3 linked regions of the Rhinolophus ferrumequinum genome follow. The protein of the gene in region 1 purifies or fractionates together with the protein of each later gene. This does not show direct contact. Links are inferred from orthologs where the notes say so. Each region holds a gene or a part of one and is shown in the gene's direction. Other genes may lie near its edges.

The links.
Region 2: the proteins of PPP4C (region 1) and SUPT5H purify together in Homo sapiens (affinity purification with mass spectrometry; 3 studies listed by BioGRID and IntAct, with this or other methods). This does not show direct contact. The link is inferred for Rhinolophus ferrumequinum from reciprocal best matches to the Homo sapiens genes PPP4C and SUPT5H.
Region 3: the proteins of PPP4C (region 1) and CCT3 purify together in Homo sapiens (affinity purification with mass spectrometry; 5 studies listed by BioGRID and IntAct, with this or other methods). This does not show direct contact. The link is inferred for Rhinolophus ferrumequinum from reciprocal best matches to the Homo sapiens genes PPP4C and CCT3.

What each region holds. Positions count from the first base shown.
Region 1 is NW_022680357.1:1,029,730-1,035,515, forward strand, and holds the start of PPP4C (serine/threonine-protein phosphatase 4 catalytic subunit), read left to right. Parts: upstream 1-2,038; 5' UTR 2,039-2,148; intron 2,149-2,360; 5' UTR 2,361-2,424; coding exon 2,425-2,522; intron 2,523-5,786. UniProt on the Homo sapiens protein: Protein phosphatase that is involved in many processes such as microtubule organization at centrosomes, maturation of spliceosomal snRNPs, apoptosis, DNA repair, tumor necrosis factor (TNF)-alpha signaling, activation of c-Jun N-terminal kinase MAPK8, regulation of histone acetylation, DNA damage checkpoint signaling, NF-kappa-B activation and cell migration.
Region 2 is NC_046298.1:38,600,129-38,605,914, forward strand, and holds the start of SUPT5H (transcription elongation factor SPT5), read left to right. Parts: upstream 1-2,762; 5' UTR 2,763-2,918; intron 2,919-3,197; coding exon 3,198-3,272; intron 3,273-5,786. UniProt on the Homo sapiens protein: Component of the DRB sensitivity-inducing factor complex (DSIF complex), which regulates mRNA processing and transcription elongation by RNA polymerase II.
Region 3 is NC_046305.1:841,997-847,782, reverse strand, and holds the start of CCT3 (T-complex protein 1 subunit gamma), read left to right. Parts: upstream 1-1,816; 5' UTR 1,817-1,942; coding exon 1,943-1,973; intron 1,974-3,833; coding exon 3,834-3,895; intron 3,896-4,593; coding exon 4,594-4,644; intron 4,645-4,735; coding exon 4,736-4,798; intron 4,799-5,544; coding exon 5,545-5,641; intron 5,642-5,786. Other genes in the region: TSACC (TSSK6-activating co-chaperone protein), read right to left, coding at 620-656. UniProt on the Homo sapiens protein: Component of the chaperonin-containing T-complex (TRiC), a molecular chaperone complex that assists the folding of actin, tubulin and other proteins upon ATP hydrolysis.

The sequences.
Region 1 (5,786 bases):
GTGGGGTGGGACCTTCCTGCTTTGTTTTATAATTGCCCACGGCCTCAAGGAGAGCTTGTGAAATGAAATGTTCTTCCAACCACCAAGGGCTCTTAACCCCTTTGACCAGCATCATCAGATAAGGCCCATACAGGGGCATGCGGGCGTAACTGCTGGAGACTGCAGGCTCAGCCTCTTTTGGGCCCAGAACCGCCGGGTGCAGAAGGCCCCTGTGACTAACAGCCACTAACAAAAGCCAAGACTTCCTGAGTTTATGAGCCAGGTAACGTTATAAGTGTCCTAAACGCGCAGGTGCCGTTAACTCTCCCGAGACGACTGGAGACCGCGCTGTTCCTCGGTGGGACGAGACGATTAATGTATCTCTCTTTACACCGTCAACCTTCTGGCTTCCCACCTTCATAGGAAATGGGATGAGAACTGGCTTCTTAGTCTTCTTGGGCTGGGGAACCCCTCGAAGGACCTGGAATCCTCTCTAGTAACTCCCTCAACAATGCAGACACACACAGAGAATGGTGGAGTTCAGGTTTCAAGTTAAGAACTGAGCCTCGAGCTGCTGTCTTCCACGAAGCCAGAGTGAGGGCTCTGCATTCACCTCCATGCCATACCTCAAACCCTTCCCCAGTCACCCAGGCTGGGGTGGAGCAGTCAATACACCAGGTCTCAGCTGTTGGCAAGATCCTAATCATAGTCCTGCCATTTCCCAAATTTCCTGATACGGGCCCTTTCCTGTTTGAGCTCCCTCCTAGAGAGAGAGAAAAAATCGTCTTGACCTTTCTGATCTCCGCACCTACTACATGCCTGTAGTGACCTGCATAGTACTGACTAACGTAGTACCCTCTCGGAGTTGAAGAACTTGGTCCTTCTCTCTGTACGTTGCCTACGTACAAAACCAAATCTCCTAGTTTCCCTCCAAACTTTGGCTCGAATATCTGTGCTTACCCTCGACTCAAAATCTGAAGTAAAGCAAACAAAAATTGAAGTCAATTAGAGATAGTGGAAAGGACATTCCAGAAGGGAGTAGTGTGTACAAAGGTTCAGACACAAAGTTTGCTTAAGGACCAATGGCTTCCTCTGGCAGCCAAAGAGTAGGGAAGCAGGGGAACTCAAATACCAGTTTGGGGAATTTGGGACTTGTTATCACGTGTTTCCCCGAAAATAAGACCGGGTCTTATATTAAGGTTTGCTCCAAAAGATGCATTAGGGCTTATGTTCAGGAGATGTCATCCTGAAAAATCATGCTAGGGCTTATTTTCCGGTGAGGTCTTATTTTTGGGGAAACACAGTCAAGCTCCAGATAGTGGTGTGAGAAATGGACGAGAAACCAAACCACTTTTCCTGGGTTCAATTTTCAACCTTGATTCAAACCCCAAATACTTAGCTATGCAACCACGAACAGGTGACTTACCCTCTCTGAGCCAGTTTCCTCTTTTAAAAAAAAAAGGAATAAAACTGGCAGACAACAGAAACCGACTGAGGGGTGTCAAGGGGATCATGCTGGAATCAGGGAGGTCAGGGAGGTCATGCGGACGGAGGCACAGGCTTGCTGTGGGGGAGGGGACTCCTTTCTGCCTCTAACTTCCGAGGTCCCCCATGGCAGAAATTTCTCGGGGGTCGTGGAACTAGATGTAGGCTGGGTGGGGTTCCTTCATCCATTGAACGAATACTGACATGTATGCCTACGTGCCAGGCCTTGTTCCAAGCACTGGGGCTGCAAGTGTGAACCAAAGTTCTATCCCTCAGGGATTTTAATGGGGGAAGTCAACTCAAACAAATTAAAAAAAAAAACACCTAAAATGACCAGGCGAGCCCCCCACCCAGCTCAGCTGCGGATGCCCTAGCAGATGGCGGAGGAGCTGGCGGGGTCCCCGCGCAGCCCTCGCAGCCCCGATGGGCTTCGCCCACAACGACTTCCGCGCGCACGTAGCTGACATCCGGTTCCTGCGGCTCGTTTTCCACCCTCCGGCTTGGGAGCGGGGGTTCCGGGCGTGGCGTGGGGGCGGGGAGACGGGTGTGTATGACGCCACTTCCGGTGCACGGCGGAAGTGGCCTCCTTTGCTTCCGCGGCGGGGCCGGAAGTAGAAGCGGCCCGAAGCGGAGGGAAGGAGGTAGGCGAGGAGCCCGGGAGCCCGAGTCGAAGTCGCAGCGGCGGTAATTGTCGGGGACCCCTCTAGGCCACCGTCCCTAGCGCGGGATCGCGGGGTTCGACGGGAGTTAGCCAGGGGCGGCCGGGGCCGTGGGGCGATGTGAGGGGAGGTCGGGGGGGGGGGGGAACCGAGCCGGCTCCGGGATGGAGTTGAGCCCCCCCACGCCTGGCGCCCCCTACGGACACTCTGATTTGGGCTCGTCTTCGCCTTTCCCAGGAGACCCCTGTGCGGTGCGGAGGGGGCGGCGGCCCCGGCTCTGACCCGCGCCGGGGGGTGGGCCATGGCGGAGATCAGCGACCTGGACCGGCAGATCGAGCAGCTGCGGCGCTGCGAGCTCATCAAGGAGAGCGAAGTCAAGGCCTTGTGCGCTAAGGCCAGGTGAGCCCGCCGGCCCCGGGCCGGGGGGCCCCGCCGCTGCCCACGGTTCCGGCCTGGGGCTGACCTAGCCGAGCACTCGGGGCCTGGCCCATCCCGGAACCTTCTCCCCTCGGGGAGCAACCTGCCTGTGCGGGGGTCGGGGGGCGATGGAGACAGACCTGGATAAAGACCCCGAAAGTATTCGATGATGTGTTTTCAGTGGAGTTAGAGAGTTCTAGAAAGTTCTTTGGAAGCGCAGGGAAACAGCCCTATCTGTTGGGGGGGGGGGTACAGAGAACGCTTCTTGGAGGAGCTGAACTTTGGGGCAGGCCGTGAAGAAGACGACGACAAAAGGCAGCGTCTGCCAGAACCGAAGTCCAAAGGCAGAAAGGCTCAAGAGTCTGTGGTGTGTGAAATTCTTCACAATTCCGACAGGACAGCAGCCCTTCAAGATGGGTGGTGGCGTCCCCGTTTTACAGGGGAGGCCCCAGGCTCAGAGTCAACCAGCAAGTCAGGGATGGAGTTTGAAGCCCGTTCTCTGTGTCCTGTCCCTTTTCAGGCCATAATGCACGAAGGTGGACTTGGATCACGCATGTTCTGTGTGGGAGCCTAAGAAACGGTAGTAGATAAGTCAGAGTATTAGTATAATCCAGCGTAGGAAGGCAGGCCCAACTCCGAGTTCGGTGGCAAGTGGGATATGTAGTGGTTAAGAGGCCCCAGGCGTTGTCGTGGTGAATGATGGCTGTAGGTTGGACTCGGCCACTGACCAGCTCTACGGGAGATCTCAGTTTTTTGACCTGTAAAATGGGGATGATAGGACTTAGTACGGTGGTTGTGAGAAGTCGGTAAGTTGGTGTGTGGGAGGAGCTTCGCATCAGGCGTTGGTGCGATGTAAGCGCAGCGATCCTTCGGTGGTGTTACCGTGTAGGACCAGGGCAATGCTGATTGGACTGAAGAGGTCCGGGAAGGCTTCTAAGAGAAGGGGGCCTTGGGAGATGAAAAGAATTTGGCCAGGCGATGGCAGCGGGCCCGGGGAGGGAGGCATCCTAAGCAGGCTGAGAGTAGGAGTGGAGGCGCTGTCACGTGTCCCCAGTGAGGAGACCAGTTACCTGCCTCCTCTGAGGTCCTGTTTGAAGGGCTTCCACCAGGCTGGAGAATTGTGGGGGAAGAGCCGGCAGAGTGACCCTGCATGAGCTGGCAGAGTGAACAACAGGCCCACTCTTAGCCTGGCGCTGTACTAGCAAAGCATTTATAGCCATTTCCACAGCCATCTCATGAGGTTGGAATTACCTCCTCCACTGTGTAGAACAGGATTCCATGACTCCGAGAGGCTTCGTGACTTGGCCGAGGTCACCCAGAGAGAAAGTGGCAGAGCTGGGCTCCGACCTTGTGGCCGTCAGGCTCTTTGCGTGGCTCAGCCCCACGCAGACAGACGCGTAGCAGCCAGAGAGGGCCTGCGTGGCTTTGGCGAGTGGGCAAAGCCCCTTTTTAAATGCTTGTCTGTAGCTCTTTCATGTTTTGCGTGCTTCCTCAGTCTTGACTGGCATTTTTAGGATTGCTGCCTGGCACTAATCTTTACCCTGTAAGTCTCACCTCCCCCCATAGGACCTTAATTTGGTAATGATAATAGCTTGGGTAGCATGGTGGCGTTTCCAGGATAACAGAAGTTACATACTGTCTTCACTGTTCTTTGCCCACTGGAATAGGCAGGGCTGGGGTGAGTAGTTCACAGAAGAGAAAATCGAGCCTCAGGGAAGCTAACGTCTCACCCAGGCCTCACAGCTGGTTGGAGGGGCGCTGGGTTTTGGAGGCAGGTCTTTGTGCTCTAAGCTTGTGAACAGCCAGGCTGTCAGAGACGCAGCAGGGAGCTGAGGAGAACTGAGGGGTGGGAGGGTCCAGCTCAGCTGAAACTGAGATGGAGCTCGGAGGTTCTGGCCTGAGGCCTGAGCTGACCACTGTCATCCCAGGCACGGCCTGAGGAAGGGCCGGCTCTAGCACCTAGGGACCCGCCCGGTGCCCATGCCGGCAGTGTCGAGAGCTTCGGCTCGCTCCGAGGGTGTGTAGACTCAAGCCTGTGGGTTTACAGCGGCCTGACGTGTGCGAGCTGAACTTGGTCCTGCTAAAAGTGAGCATAGGGGCGGCCAGTTAGCTCAGCTGGTGAGAGCATGGTGTTGGTAACACCAAGGTTGCCGGTTCAAGCCCCGCATGGGCCACTGTGAGCTGCGTCCTCCTTAAAAAAAAAGTCAGCATATTCGAAGAGCAGAGGGTTTTGAATCGGGGGGTCTTCAGTGCGAATCCCAGCTTTGTCACCTGTAAATCGTAGGACCCTGGTCAAGTCCCTTTACCTCTGCAAGTCTTTGAAATCCTTAGGATTCTCAAACGAGATTCTGCAAATCTGAGGACAGGCCCAGGCACTTTGATGAGCACGTACAAAAGGCAGTGTTAGTTGTGGGAGGAAAGGTGAGCAAATGTGAACCCTGAGAGGGCGGGTGGTGTGCTGCAAGCGTCAGGGCTGGGATGGGAAGCTGGGCCTTGTTGCCGGACCTTGCTGGGGTGCTGCTAACTCCGAGGCTGGGTTTTGACCCACAATCTGGCAGAAATTCTCAGAGAGTTGGGCTCCTGGGTTCCAGCTCAGGCTCTCTCCAGTTTTGTGACCTTGCCCCTGCCCCTTTTTTCTCTAAGCCTTGGTTTTTTTACCTGTCAGACGAGGATGAAAAGAACCTCCCCGAGTCAGTCGCAAAGGTCATTGTAAGCGCTTGATGTGGAAGGATGTTGATTGAGCACAGGGGCAGTACAGGTGGGAGAGCCTGGTAGCTGCAGGGCCCCCGGGATCACAGCCAGCGCCTCCTCCCATCCCCAGAAAGCCAGGGCACACCTCCAGGAGCTGCCTGTGTCGTGCACAGCACCCCGAAGGACCTCCAGGGAAGCCTGAGGAGCTCGGGGAGCCCCAGTCTGGTGGGAAGAGACTGGCAGGAAGAGGGCAGGCTGAGCAGGAGCTTGAGAAAAGCCAGACCCGGGAGCCCGCTGCCTTGGTTGCAGTCCCGCAGGGGTGACTGCGGCCATTCGTTCGAGCAGGGAAACCACCTTTGAAGGTGGTGATTTGATTGTGTTGCGTCCTCCACGCAACGCTCTTCCTGCAGTCATGGCGCAAGGTGAGAACTGGAACGCTCACCTCTGCAGCTGTCACCAGGAGGAAACCTGGTAGCAGGGTGCTCCTTCAATTGGGTGCCTGTCCACCTGACATGTCCACTCAAGTGGAAGGAGACCACTGCAAGGAGGGGTGAA
Region 2 (5,786 bases), on another chromosome or scaffold:
TGGTTCTCTTTGCCATCTCTCTGACAAATAATTATTGTACTAATACATAAATTCACATTTAAATCAACTTAGTGACAATGCAAAGGAAAACAAAGCCTTTGGGGTCACCCAAAGTTGGGGAGAGATCATAGGTCTGCCATTTTCCACTTAGTTTATTTATTTTTTAAATATTTTTTTGGGGGGAAGGGGAACAGGACTTTATTGGGGTACAGTGTGTACTTACAGGACTTTTTTTCCAAGTCAAGTTGTTGTCCTTTCAATTTTAGTTTTGGAGAGTGCTGTTCAGCTTCAAGTTGTTGTCCTTTTCAGTCTTAGTTGTGGAGGGCGCAGCTCAGCTCCAGGTCCAGTTGCCGTTGCTAGTTGCAGGGGGCTGAGCCCACCATCCCTTGCGGGATTCGGAGGAGTTGAACCAGCAGCCTTGTGGTTGAGAGCCAACTGGCCCATGTGGGAATCGAACCGGCAGCCTTCGGAGTTAGGAGCACGGAGCTCCAACTGCCTGAGCCACCGGGCCGACCCCTTTTAATTTTTTTTTTTTTTTAGATTTTATTGGGGAAGGGGAACAGGACTTTATTGGGGAACAGTGTGTACTTCCAGGACTTTTTTTTTTTTTCAAGTCAAGTTGTCCTTTCAATCTTAGTTATGGAGGGTGCCGTTCAGCTTCAAGTTGTTGTCCTTTCAGTCTTAGTTGTGGAGGGCGCAGCTCAGCTCCAGGTCCAGTTGCCGTTTTCTAGTTGCAGGGGGCACAGCCCACCATGCCCTGTGGGAGTCGAACCGGCAACCTTGTGAGCCATCTGGGAGGCAGCTCAGCTCAAGGTGCTGTGTTCAATCTTAGTTGCAGGGGGCACTGCCCACCATCCCTTGCGGGACTCCAGGAATTGAACTGGCAACCTTGTGGTTGAGAGCCGGCCCATGTGGGAATTGAATCGGCAGCCTTTGGAGTTAGGAGCATGGAGCTCTAACTGCCTGAAGCCACCGGGCCGGCCCCCCTTTTAATTTTTTAATTCAAATTTTTATTTGTTTATATTTAGGTATTTTTTTGTATTATAAAGGAATTTTAGCACTTTTTAACATATGGTACAAGAAATTTTATGTAACAAATAATTACAAAAGACAAGAACAGATACAAGGTACAATAATTTTATTAATATGTACCGGTAACAAATTTATGATATTTACACATCATAGAAGGCCAAGAACTCTTCGTCACTGTCAATATCAGAAGTATTGTCTTCCTTAATTTCTACATTACCGGTGTTTTCTGAAGAGTTAGACACTTTCTTCATTCAGTAAATTTCATCATCCTCCATCCCATCCATTGCACTGCTGATGCCACATTTTTTAAACGATTTTACAATAATTTCATTCTTGATACCGTTCCACAATCTTAGGATCCAATCACAAACCTGGGCGATGGATGCTTTCTTGATTCTGCCTGTAGGTGTTAAATCATTACCAGCTGACTGCATCCACGACATCCACTCTATTCTTCATGAGGACCATTAAGGGCTTGTTTACTGATACATCAAGAGGTTGCAGTTCGCCGGCTAGCCCACCAGGTATCACAGCGAGTTGGGTTTTCAAGGCCACTGCAATTGCTTTTGCACTTCGTGTAACATGGGCTTTGAAGTGATCAAAAACAAGCAAAGCTGGGTTTTTAAGTAATTCTCCAGGCCTTTGTGACTAGACTTTGTTCAACCAGATTTTCGTGCCTTCTCCATTTATCCATCCTTTTTCATGTACGTGGACAATAATTCTACTTGGAAACTTTTCTTTTGGAAACATTTTTGTTTTAAAGATGATCATAGGTGGTAGCTTTGTCCCATCTGTACAACAGGCTAGAACAACAGTGAAATGTGTTTTCTCATGTCCACTAGTTTAAACAGCCCTGGTCTTTACTCCTTTGACGTTTGCAGTTCTGTTAGATGGCACATCAAATGTGTGTGGGACCTCATCCATATTGGCGCTTTGGGACAACTCAAAGTTGTAAGTCTTTTGAAGATTGATAACATAAGAATGAAATTCCAAAACTTGATTCTCATTGGCTGCTGGAAGTTTTGGGGCAAGTTTCATTCATGTCCTCATGCTTAAACCTTCTCTCTTGATAAAGTTAAAGCACCATTTAGGTGTCCCTGAGAAATCATCAATATTGTTTTTTCTCGTGCAATCTCTTTACCCTCTTCTTGTATCATCTTGGTTGACACAGAGATCCCAGTCTGATGCTCCTCCAGAATCCAGGTCTTTACCTCTTGCTCCAAACCGGCCACTTTGGAGGTTTCCCTTGCATTGCCTTCTTCTATCTCAGCATCTGAAGAAGCTTTTCTTCCTGTTGCCTCCACAATCTGATGACACTCTCTGTGGGAGGAGGTCCAAAGTGTCTCTTGGCAGCTCTGTTGCTATGCTCTTTAGCATATATATATATATGCTATATAACATATATATGTATATATATTTTTAAAGAGGTTGCAGCTCACAGGGGCCCATGTGGGGTTCTAATCGGCAACCTTGGTGTTATGAGCACTGCACACCAAGCAACAGAGCAACCGGCCACCCCTACTGTTACACTTTTAACTCATAAGCATAAGTAAAATAATCAAAAACATTTATGTAGATACTGAATTAGTACTACCCATGTATAATGCATATCCTTATCTCCCCCCCACACACACAAATTTGGGCAAAAAAGTGCGTATTATACACAGCAATATAAGGTTACTTTCCCTCTCTTTGACCTTCCCAAGATGTCAGCTCCAAGTGCTACCTAAAGATAGCTCTGCCACTCTCAAGACGGTACCCGGGAAGTGAGTAGGAGGAGCCCTAGAAATCTCGCGTTAGGCGAGGACATGCGGTAGGTTATCGCGAGAGGATACGTCATTCCCAGCCAGGCGTCGTGTGAACAGCAACCGGTGCCGAAGGTGGAGGTGAGGCCGGAGCGGTGAGGGGTGGGTTGGAAGCCGACGTAGCAGGCCCAGGGGTCGCCGGGAACCAGGGAGGTGTAGAGACCGGATTCAAGGACTCTAGAGGTGTAGCAGGTGGCGTTGGGGGCGGGTCTCCTTTCGGGTTCACGGTTGCCAGAACGAGGCTGCCGGAAGTGCGCTAAGGGGCTTTTCTCGCCGGGAACCGGCGGGGATACTGAGGCTCGGGGTGGAGTTCGGGATTGGGGGACGCACTGAGGCCGCCGTCTTTTCTTGCAAGAGCAGATGTCGGACAGCGAGGACAGCAACTTCTCCGAGGAGGAAGACAGCGAGCGCAGCAGTGACGGCGAGGAGGCCGAGGTCTGTGGCTGGGGCGCTGGGGGGCATGGCGCCTGGGGACAGGACCAAAGCAGAAAGGCCCCTGTGCGAGCTCAGAGCGGATCAAAATGAGCTCTGGCCTCGCGGAGCTTCCAGGTTGTCGGGAGAGATAGACAAGTAGGGAAGCCCAGGTTAAGCAGAGGGGACAGGTGCTGGAGGCCAGGGCTGCCCCGGGTACAGGTAGGTAACAAGCGATGTGGTGAAAGGACCTGCCACATAGTGAGCACTCACTATTAGCTTTTATTTTTAGGTATGTTCAGTCATTCTAGAAAGATGTTTTTACTGCCTACTATGTGCTACGCACAAGTCTTTGCCCTTGAGCTACGCCAGTAAACAAAACAGATTTCAAAAACCTTTGCCTTGTGAATATAAGTAAACATAATAAGTAAATCATTAGTATGTTAGCAGGTACTCTGCAGGAAAGTAGAGAAGGGGAATAGGGAGTCCTCGTTGCACTTTGAATAGGGTAATCAGGGTGAGTCTGAGCGGGTGACATTTGAAAAAAGACTTGTTGGAGGTGAGGGAGTGAGTCATGTCATAGGGAAGAAGAGTGTTCCAGTAAGGGGGAACAGGCAGTGCAAAGTTGGGAGCATGTCTGCGGTGTTCAAGAAGTAACAAGGAGTCCACTTTTGCTGGATCAGAGAGAGTGCAGCAAAGAAGTAACAGAAAGAAGCCCAATCACACAGGATCTTGAAGACTGTGGTGAGGAATTTATCCTTAACTGAGTGAGATGGAGCCATGAGAACGTTTCGAGCAAAGGAGGGATGTGATCTAATGTTTTGAAAGGATCACTCCGGCTTTGGGTGTGTTGAATGTCGCCATTTCAGGAACTAAATATCAAACATTTCCTGGGACACATCTGATTTCAAATATTGTCACTCACTGTTATCCTCTTGTATTTATTTTTGATTTCCTCATTTGTTGAACAAATGTTTGAGCATCTACGTTGTGCTGCAGATACATCCTAGGTGTTGGAGAGAGTGGAACAAGGCAAATCTGTCCTTTCAGGGAGTTTAGTAGAAGGGAATTAACAAAGGATGGTTATATGGGTTTCATTTAGCCTTACAGAAATGGGAATTTATTTTGTAAGTTAGTTGCCAACACTTGTAAGGGTGATTTCGTGTAAAAATCAACATTTCCTGCTTTTCTGGGGAAATGGGAGGAGCCAGTAACTGGGACTCAGGATTGTTCCATATAGTAGCTCTTTGCTCAAGAAGTAGCAGCCCTGTTTAGAACTGGGAATTTTCTCTAGTTTCCAGGATACATAAATCACCATTTATCATCATGCCTGTCTTGTGGCAGATTTAAGAAAAGGAAAGGTGTCATATGCCTGTGTTATGGAAAACACAAGGTAGACGGAGAGTGCCATGGGATTCCCTTGAGCTTATTTATGTTGCATGCTTGCCCTCTGTAGGCATTTGATTGTCAAACCTTGTGCCTTTTGGGGAGTCTTCAGCTTCCGGTGAAGAGTTGGAGGAATTGGGATATCGTGCTGGGGGAGTGGGGCAAATAGGAGGATGCCAGGAAGGGCCTTTGCTTCAAGAGTCCTTGGTCTCTGACTCATGGCTTCAGGACACTTTGCTTGTGGTTAAAGCCTGGTGGTAATGAGACCAGGATCCCCGCTTCCTTTTCCTGGCTGGGGTAGTCTGCTTTGCACTGTGCAAGTCTCACTCTTAACACCACACTAGGCTGGCTTGTCTGCTGTCACCAGGTGAGGCATGAGGGCGGTGTGAAGCCCGCCCTCACTGCCAGAGATGGGACTGGATGGGTTTTTCAGACAGCCAGATGTTGGCATGGCCCTTGAAGAACTGGGTCCCACGGATAGACAGGTAGGGGATGGTACACAATGAGCCACTTTCGGGTTCACTCTTCTCAGCCCCAGTAACCTGCTCATTCACTAATTCGACATGTGTTCCTTGAGTTCCTGTCGTGTTGGGATCACAGCCTCCCTCGTGGAGACCTCTGTCCTGGGGTGGAGAGTTTCATAAACAGAGGGACCAGTACTGAGGGGAATCCTGAGGACGGCATGGTGTAAGAGCACGTTCAAGTCCTGAGGTAACACAGAGATAGTAGTGGGAGCTCTCTCCTCGGGGACTGGGGAGCCGGGTTTGGAAAGAAGGGTACGCTGGGACTGAGGGTGATGACAAGGTTTTTAGAAATCAGGATGTGATCCTATTGTAGTTTGAGTTGTTCATATGTGGATTGTGTGAGCTAGTCAGGATTCTGTATTAAAGCAAATATTTCTTAAGTCATCTTGTGTTCCCGGCCATGGGCTGGGTGATGCTGGGGACCCAGCAGTGCCTGAGATAATAGCCTGGTCCCTGCTCTCAGGGAGGTCATCGTGGTCACCTCCCTGACCACGTGGTGGAAGAAGCCCGGAGGGTGGTGACTGCAGAGGATGTGCCTGCCTTTGCCTGGTGGGGAGAGGGCATGACTTCCTGAAAGAGGGGTACTTTGATTGAAACGTGAACGAGAGGCAGAGCAAAATAGCTTGTT
Region 3 (5,786 bases), on another chromosome or scaffold:
TATGAAGTCGGTAGCTTTAGCCATATTTTATTTGAGGAAACTGAAGTTAGGAAATTTGCCCCAGATTCCACAATTAACTTGTGGCAGTGCTGGAATTAAATCCAGGCCTGTCAATTCCAAAGTCGTGCTCTTTACCACTGCACAATACGCTCTGCGGAAAGAGCTAGTGCACTGATGTCCAAGGTATGACATCGCAGGACTCTCAAATCAAGTACTCTGCTCTACCTGCAGTTAAGTGGCTAGACAGATGGCCTTGGGCATGTCCCTGGCCACCAGTGGGGCTGCCCTGCTCAACCTGAGTTAGTTATCTGTTCACTCTAGTCGACACTATGTCTCCTGGGACCCCTGTACACAAAGTCTTGTTCTAAGTATTAAGAGGAGATACAAAGGAAGAATATTATATTCATTCAACATATAATTATTGAGCATCGATAATTTAACAGGTCCCGTTCTAGGCACTGGGAATACAGCAATGTTCCTATTACGTGGGATGCAGAACAAAGACATACTTCCCAATTAGCCAAGTAACAGGAAAAAACATATACAACTAGAATCATTTTCCCAAATGTGGAGCAATTAAGGCCTGGCTTTTAAGGGAGGGGGAGCCTCCGGCACACACCTTTTCTGTTAGTAGGATGACCGGTAGGGTCCTCCATCTGAGCACCCACAGATGTGTTTCCAGAGGCCTGGAAAGAAACATCGGGTCACGTGATCAACAACCATGCTATTATTTTACTGTTGACAATTTTCTAAGTTCTCTCTGGCAGATCTCAGGCTGTTCCAATTTGGGGAGGAAAAAGTGGGAAAGGGTGTACTCTTTTATTTTATGGCCAAATGTTAAGTGACTCTTCATGGATTGTTTGTGCTCTCCTAGCCCCTTCACTAGTTTGGAATACAGTTGTTTCCGTTATTATTGCTTCCTTTTTTTTTCTGGACAAAATAGTAATGCAACTAAACCCAAACCTTAAAAGTCTCCTACGAACGGGCAATTACTCTCTTGTGTTCTCTCCACGTTTAATTTCCGTATCAGCCCTTTTCCTTTCCTGTAAGGTAATTGAAAAGCTCTGGCTCAGTCGTCTCTAATGGACTAGCAGTGGAGTGGACGTCAAGAGGGCAGGGGAGGCAACGGGCGTGGAGAAACAATCTCAAAGCCCTACGTGGAACCCTTGAGAAAATGTTTTGGATAGAATAACGGGGAGAGGGTGTGGTGGGGTGGAAAGGAAGCCATCACCCTCTGGCGCCGCTCACAGCCTCGGTCAGTAGAAAGCGTTTGCCTAAGAATGGTAAGGTTCCCGCACAGCAACGAGACCAGAGGCAATAAACCACAACTCCCAGCGTGCCCGATAGGACTACAACTCCCATTTCACCCCGCGGCCAACCCGCCAGGTCTTCCCTTAACCGCCGGTTGAAGTCCCTCCCTTCTATTCCTCCCTGTAGCTAAGGCTGGATCGAAAGAGTGACGGAAACTGTCACTGCTTTCTTGACCTTCGCGGCCTGAGAGGAGCTGAGGTGCAAGCCAGTCTAATGCCATCACCTGCGGTGTTAATTGAGAGCCACAACCCCAGCATCCACCCTTGCAGCTGAATCACACGCGCAGCGACGTGCCGGCCAACTGCCCGAGCCTTGGCGCTTGCGCCGAAGCTCGCGCCGCACGCGGCCGGGAGCGGCCACCCTATTGCGCAAGCGCCGTTTCCATCCTCGTGCTCTCTCTATCTAGCTTGCCCAGACGTTCTTGCGTAGGGGGCGGGGCTAAGAATCCCAATTGGCTTATTTTTGTGCCGGTCAGTGAGGTGGATGCGCTGATTGGCGGCGACCCGGAAGGTAGCGGGTTTAGGTGTAAGCCCTGAGAAGGCAGCGTTTTCTGGGCTTCTCTCAGGTTCTCTCTCCAGAAGCTTCTGCCGGTTCCCCCAGCTCTGGGTCCCGGGCTCCGCATCGCGCCGCCATGATGGGCCATCGTCCCGTGCTCGTGCTCAGTGAGTTGAGGGGAAGCCGATGGAGGGACCCCCTTTTCGCTCCCCGTCGGTCTACACTTTTCAGGGTTGCCCCAGCCCAGTCCCGCCATGGTCCGGCCAGTGAGCCTACCAGTCATCCTCGTTTTGGAAGCCCCTTCTCCCGCTCTCCTGTCTCCCCTTAGTCCATTCCGCTGTCTTCACGGACGCAAACTGACCTTGTCCTCACGGCTTCCCGCCCCGGGGAGCCCCTGCCCCCTTCTCGGCGTGGTTTTCGGCGTGTAGGTGAATGGATGATGGTGTTTTGGTTTGGCCCAGCTCGGGAACCTCGGTCAGTCTCTTAGCAGCGGTTGTCCTCGGCCAAATTGCTTAAGTGTTTCCATCTGTCTTATTGGGGTGAACGGTAGTTCCCCGTAGAACCGTGAGGATCAAACGAGATAAGTAGAGGAACTGCTGAAAAGAGGGGCTGGCGAACAGCGAGGGGTGGGTATCCTTGTCACTTTTCCCTAACGGCCCTCTTGAATTTCCGCTCAGCAGCCCGTCCCTGTACCTGAAGTAACTCCGCTTCCCTCCCTGGTCTGTCTCTCTGTCTGTCTTAGATGTAATTATTCCCTGCGTGTCGCCTGCGTTGTAATCCTTCCCAGGAACCCACTTGAGTTTTCCCAAATTTCTTAACGGGTTCTCTTTACCCTTCAAAACATCCCACATTTCTTTCTGACTGGCGAGCGCCTCGTCCATGGGCTTCCCCTGGTTTGTTTCCGTCCTGTGTGTCGCTTCTGTGTGCCATCTGCAAGACCACCTAAGATCCCCAACTAGCCATAGTGTCTTCTGTCTACGGAACGCCGTTCAGAGATTTTAACCATTTTCCCTACACCTAGGAAATAACTCTTTTTAGGGGGGGAGGGGAATCCCGTAACCAGAAAAATGCCTGTTCTTTCGGATGAATCCATCAGAAAGGTTCATGCAGGGTTTTACTCACCACGGCCTGAAATAGGCATCTAAAGCGTGAGAATTGTGAATGTTTAGATTTGATGAGACTGGGTTGGACATTTTTCAGATTGAAATCGTTGGCAGGAAAATGTGCAATTGGGAGAGAGGAAGGAAATGAGCGGGTGTTGGTTTGGTTATGGACCACTGGCTTGTCTGCACTGAGGGGGCCCTGGGGTGAGTGGTGCATTCGAAGTCCTTTTCAGGTCTGCATTCATCCCTGGCCTTAGTGGCTATAACCCACTGTGCTCTCTGTTAAAGTAGGTAACAGCTCTTACTGATGGTACGTGGGTGACTGAGGCAGTCTTGCTATAGCCAAGCATGGAGTGACTAGCTTGCAAATGGGGACACACTTGAAGAGTGTGTTCTCATCCCACAGCACACTGGGGGCTCTGTCAGTAATCATGCCCGGTCTATCGAGTATGATTCTTCCTCTCCAAGTAGGGAAAGATGAACCCCAAACTCCCTTTTACATAAAGAAGTGATTTGTGCTTCTTTTAGGGTCACCGGCCTTTTGAGAATCCAATGAGAGGCTATAGATCCTTTTCCCAGACGAAGCCCCCATTTTCTCATATAATCTCAGGGATTTTCACTTTGCCACAGAGGCCCACTCATGAATCTCAGATTATGAATCCATGCTGTAAATACATGGGTGTTTGGTTAGAGGGAAAGTGATGACCAAGATTCCAAAGTTGAAGCATCGTGGGTGGTTTCTAACAGTTTTTTTGAGGTGTAATCATACAATAAGCTGCACATATTTAAAGTGTACAACTTGATAAGCTTTGATCTGTGTGGACACCTATGGAACCTGTGCATTTGTTTCTATTTTCAGAAGTCGGGGAGTAAATAGTTTATATATAATGGGACAATCCCGCACTGTTGTCTTATCTATTTTAGGCCAGAACACAAAGCGTGAATCTGGAAGAAAAGTCCAATCTGGAAACATCAATGCTGCCAAGGTAGCCTATCCGTGGAATTGTTTACAGTGTGCTGGTTTTCCTCCAGCTGCCTGCCCTAGTATTTCTGTATCTGTTTGCAGTTAGGCAGAGGAGAGGTTGACTTCCCTTCTTTTAGGTCATTTCCTTGATAGGGGTAGAACGAAGGAAGCCCTTTCTCTGTGCGTTAGGCCTAAGCATCTTCTCATACTGACAAAGTTCCATCGCTGTGTATCTTATAATAATACCCTATTTGTGTCTGTCTACTAGACTGAGTTCCTGTGGGGAAGGACTGTGTGTATCCCCTCTTGTATTCCGAGTGCCCACTGTAGATCCCAGATAGGACCCAGTATCTTTGGCATAAAAAGCCCTCACTGGGTCTGATTTAGCATGGTGTGGAGGTTACTGTGATGGAAAGAACTCCTAAGACATGGACGTGCATTTATCTGGACTGCTGGGAAACTGAAGATCTGGGAAGCATGTCCCCGTTTTTCTTGTGAAAAGTCATTTCTTTCTACCTCCACCCTGAAAGCATTCCCAAAGGGGAAAACAGAACGGAAGCGGCCACACGGCGTGCAGCATCTAAGATGCTTGCCAACCCTGCTCTGGTGGGGGGGTTGCTAGCCCACGGGCTCTGTGGGTCCCTCGTGCCCCTTTCCTAACACAGACACTCACCCTGTCCTCTGACTTGTGCTCATGTGTTTATATTTTCCTTCCACTAGACCATCGCAGATATCATCCGAACATGTTTGGGACCCAAGTCCATGATGAAGGTAGGCCCCTCTCATACTGAAAGCCTTTGACTACAGACTTTCCCTTTCTGGTATCTGGAAAACTTAAATATAACTTTTGCTTGTGTCCTAGATGCTTCTGGACCCGATGGGAGGCATTGTGATGACCAATGACGGCAATGCCATTCTTCGAGAGGTGTGACTGACTTTTCATTATGATTTCACACCTTTATAAAGGATCCAGAAAGATGTATTGATGATGACTAGTTCCTTAGGGCTGCTGGAACAAATGACCACAAACTAGGAAGCTTTAAACAACAAAAGTGTGTTCTTTAGACTGGAGGATACAAACCTGAAATCAAGGTGTCAGCAGAGCCGTGCGCCTGAAAGCCTATGGCAGGATCTTTCTAGCTGCTGACGGCTGACCATATCCTTGGCCTTCCTTGGCTCGTGAACTCGGTCTCCTTCTCGTTTGTCACGTGGAAGTCTCCTGTGTGTCGTACTGTAAGGACACCAGTGGTTGGAGTCGGGGCCTACACTGATTCCCTATGACCTCATCTTAACTTGATTACATGGTCAGTGACCCCATTTCCAAATATAGTCACATTTGTAGTTTGCAGCGTGTAGGACTTCAGCATGTCCTTTTGGAGGACACAGTTCAACCACCACAGTGGTGCTCCCAGTAAATAAAAGATAGTGTTCTGTTGTCAGAAAAACTGTAATAGGTCAGTTGGCCTAATATATTTCCCTAAAACGAAAGGGACTTGGAAAGGTGGTTTACTTAGATATTTTGGGGGCCACTTTTAATCTTTCAAGCTGTGGTAAAACAAGGGAAAAAGGAGTAAGTGTGAAAGCGAGAACCTGAAGGTTAGGGCCAAGCAGAATGTGAAGCGGGCTTTGAATAGTGTGGATTCTAGTGGCAGGCGACATGTTTCTTTCCAGATTCAAGTTCAGCATCCAGCAGCCAAGTCCATGATTGAAATTAGCCGGACACAGGATGAAGAGGTTGGAGATGGGACCACATCAGTAATTATTCTTGGTAAGAAGAGAATGGAAGGATGATAAAGAAAATTTGATTGAAACTTGAAGATTTTTGCTAGAAATATTGTCTGTGTCATATTTTAAGAAGGAAATTGTTACCAATCCACTAATCACAGATATTAAATAACTTGTTGCTAATTATG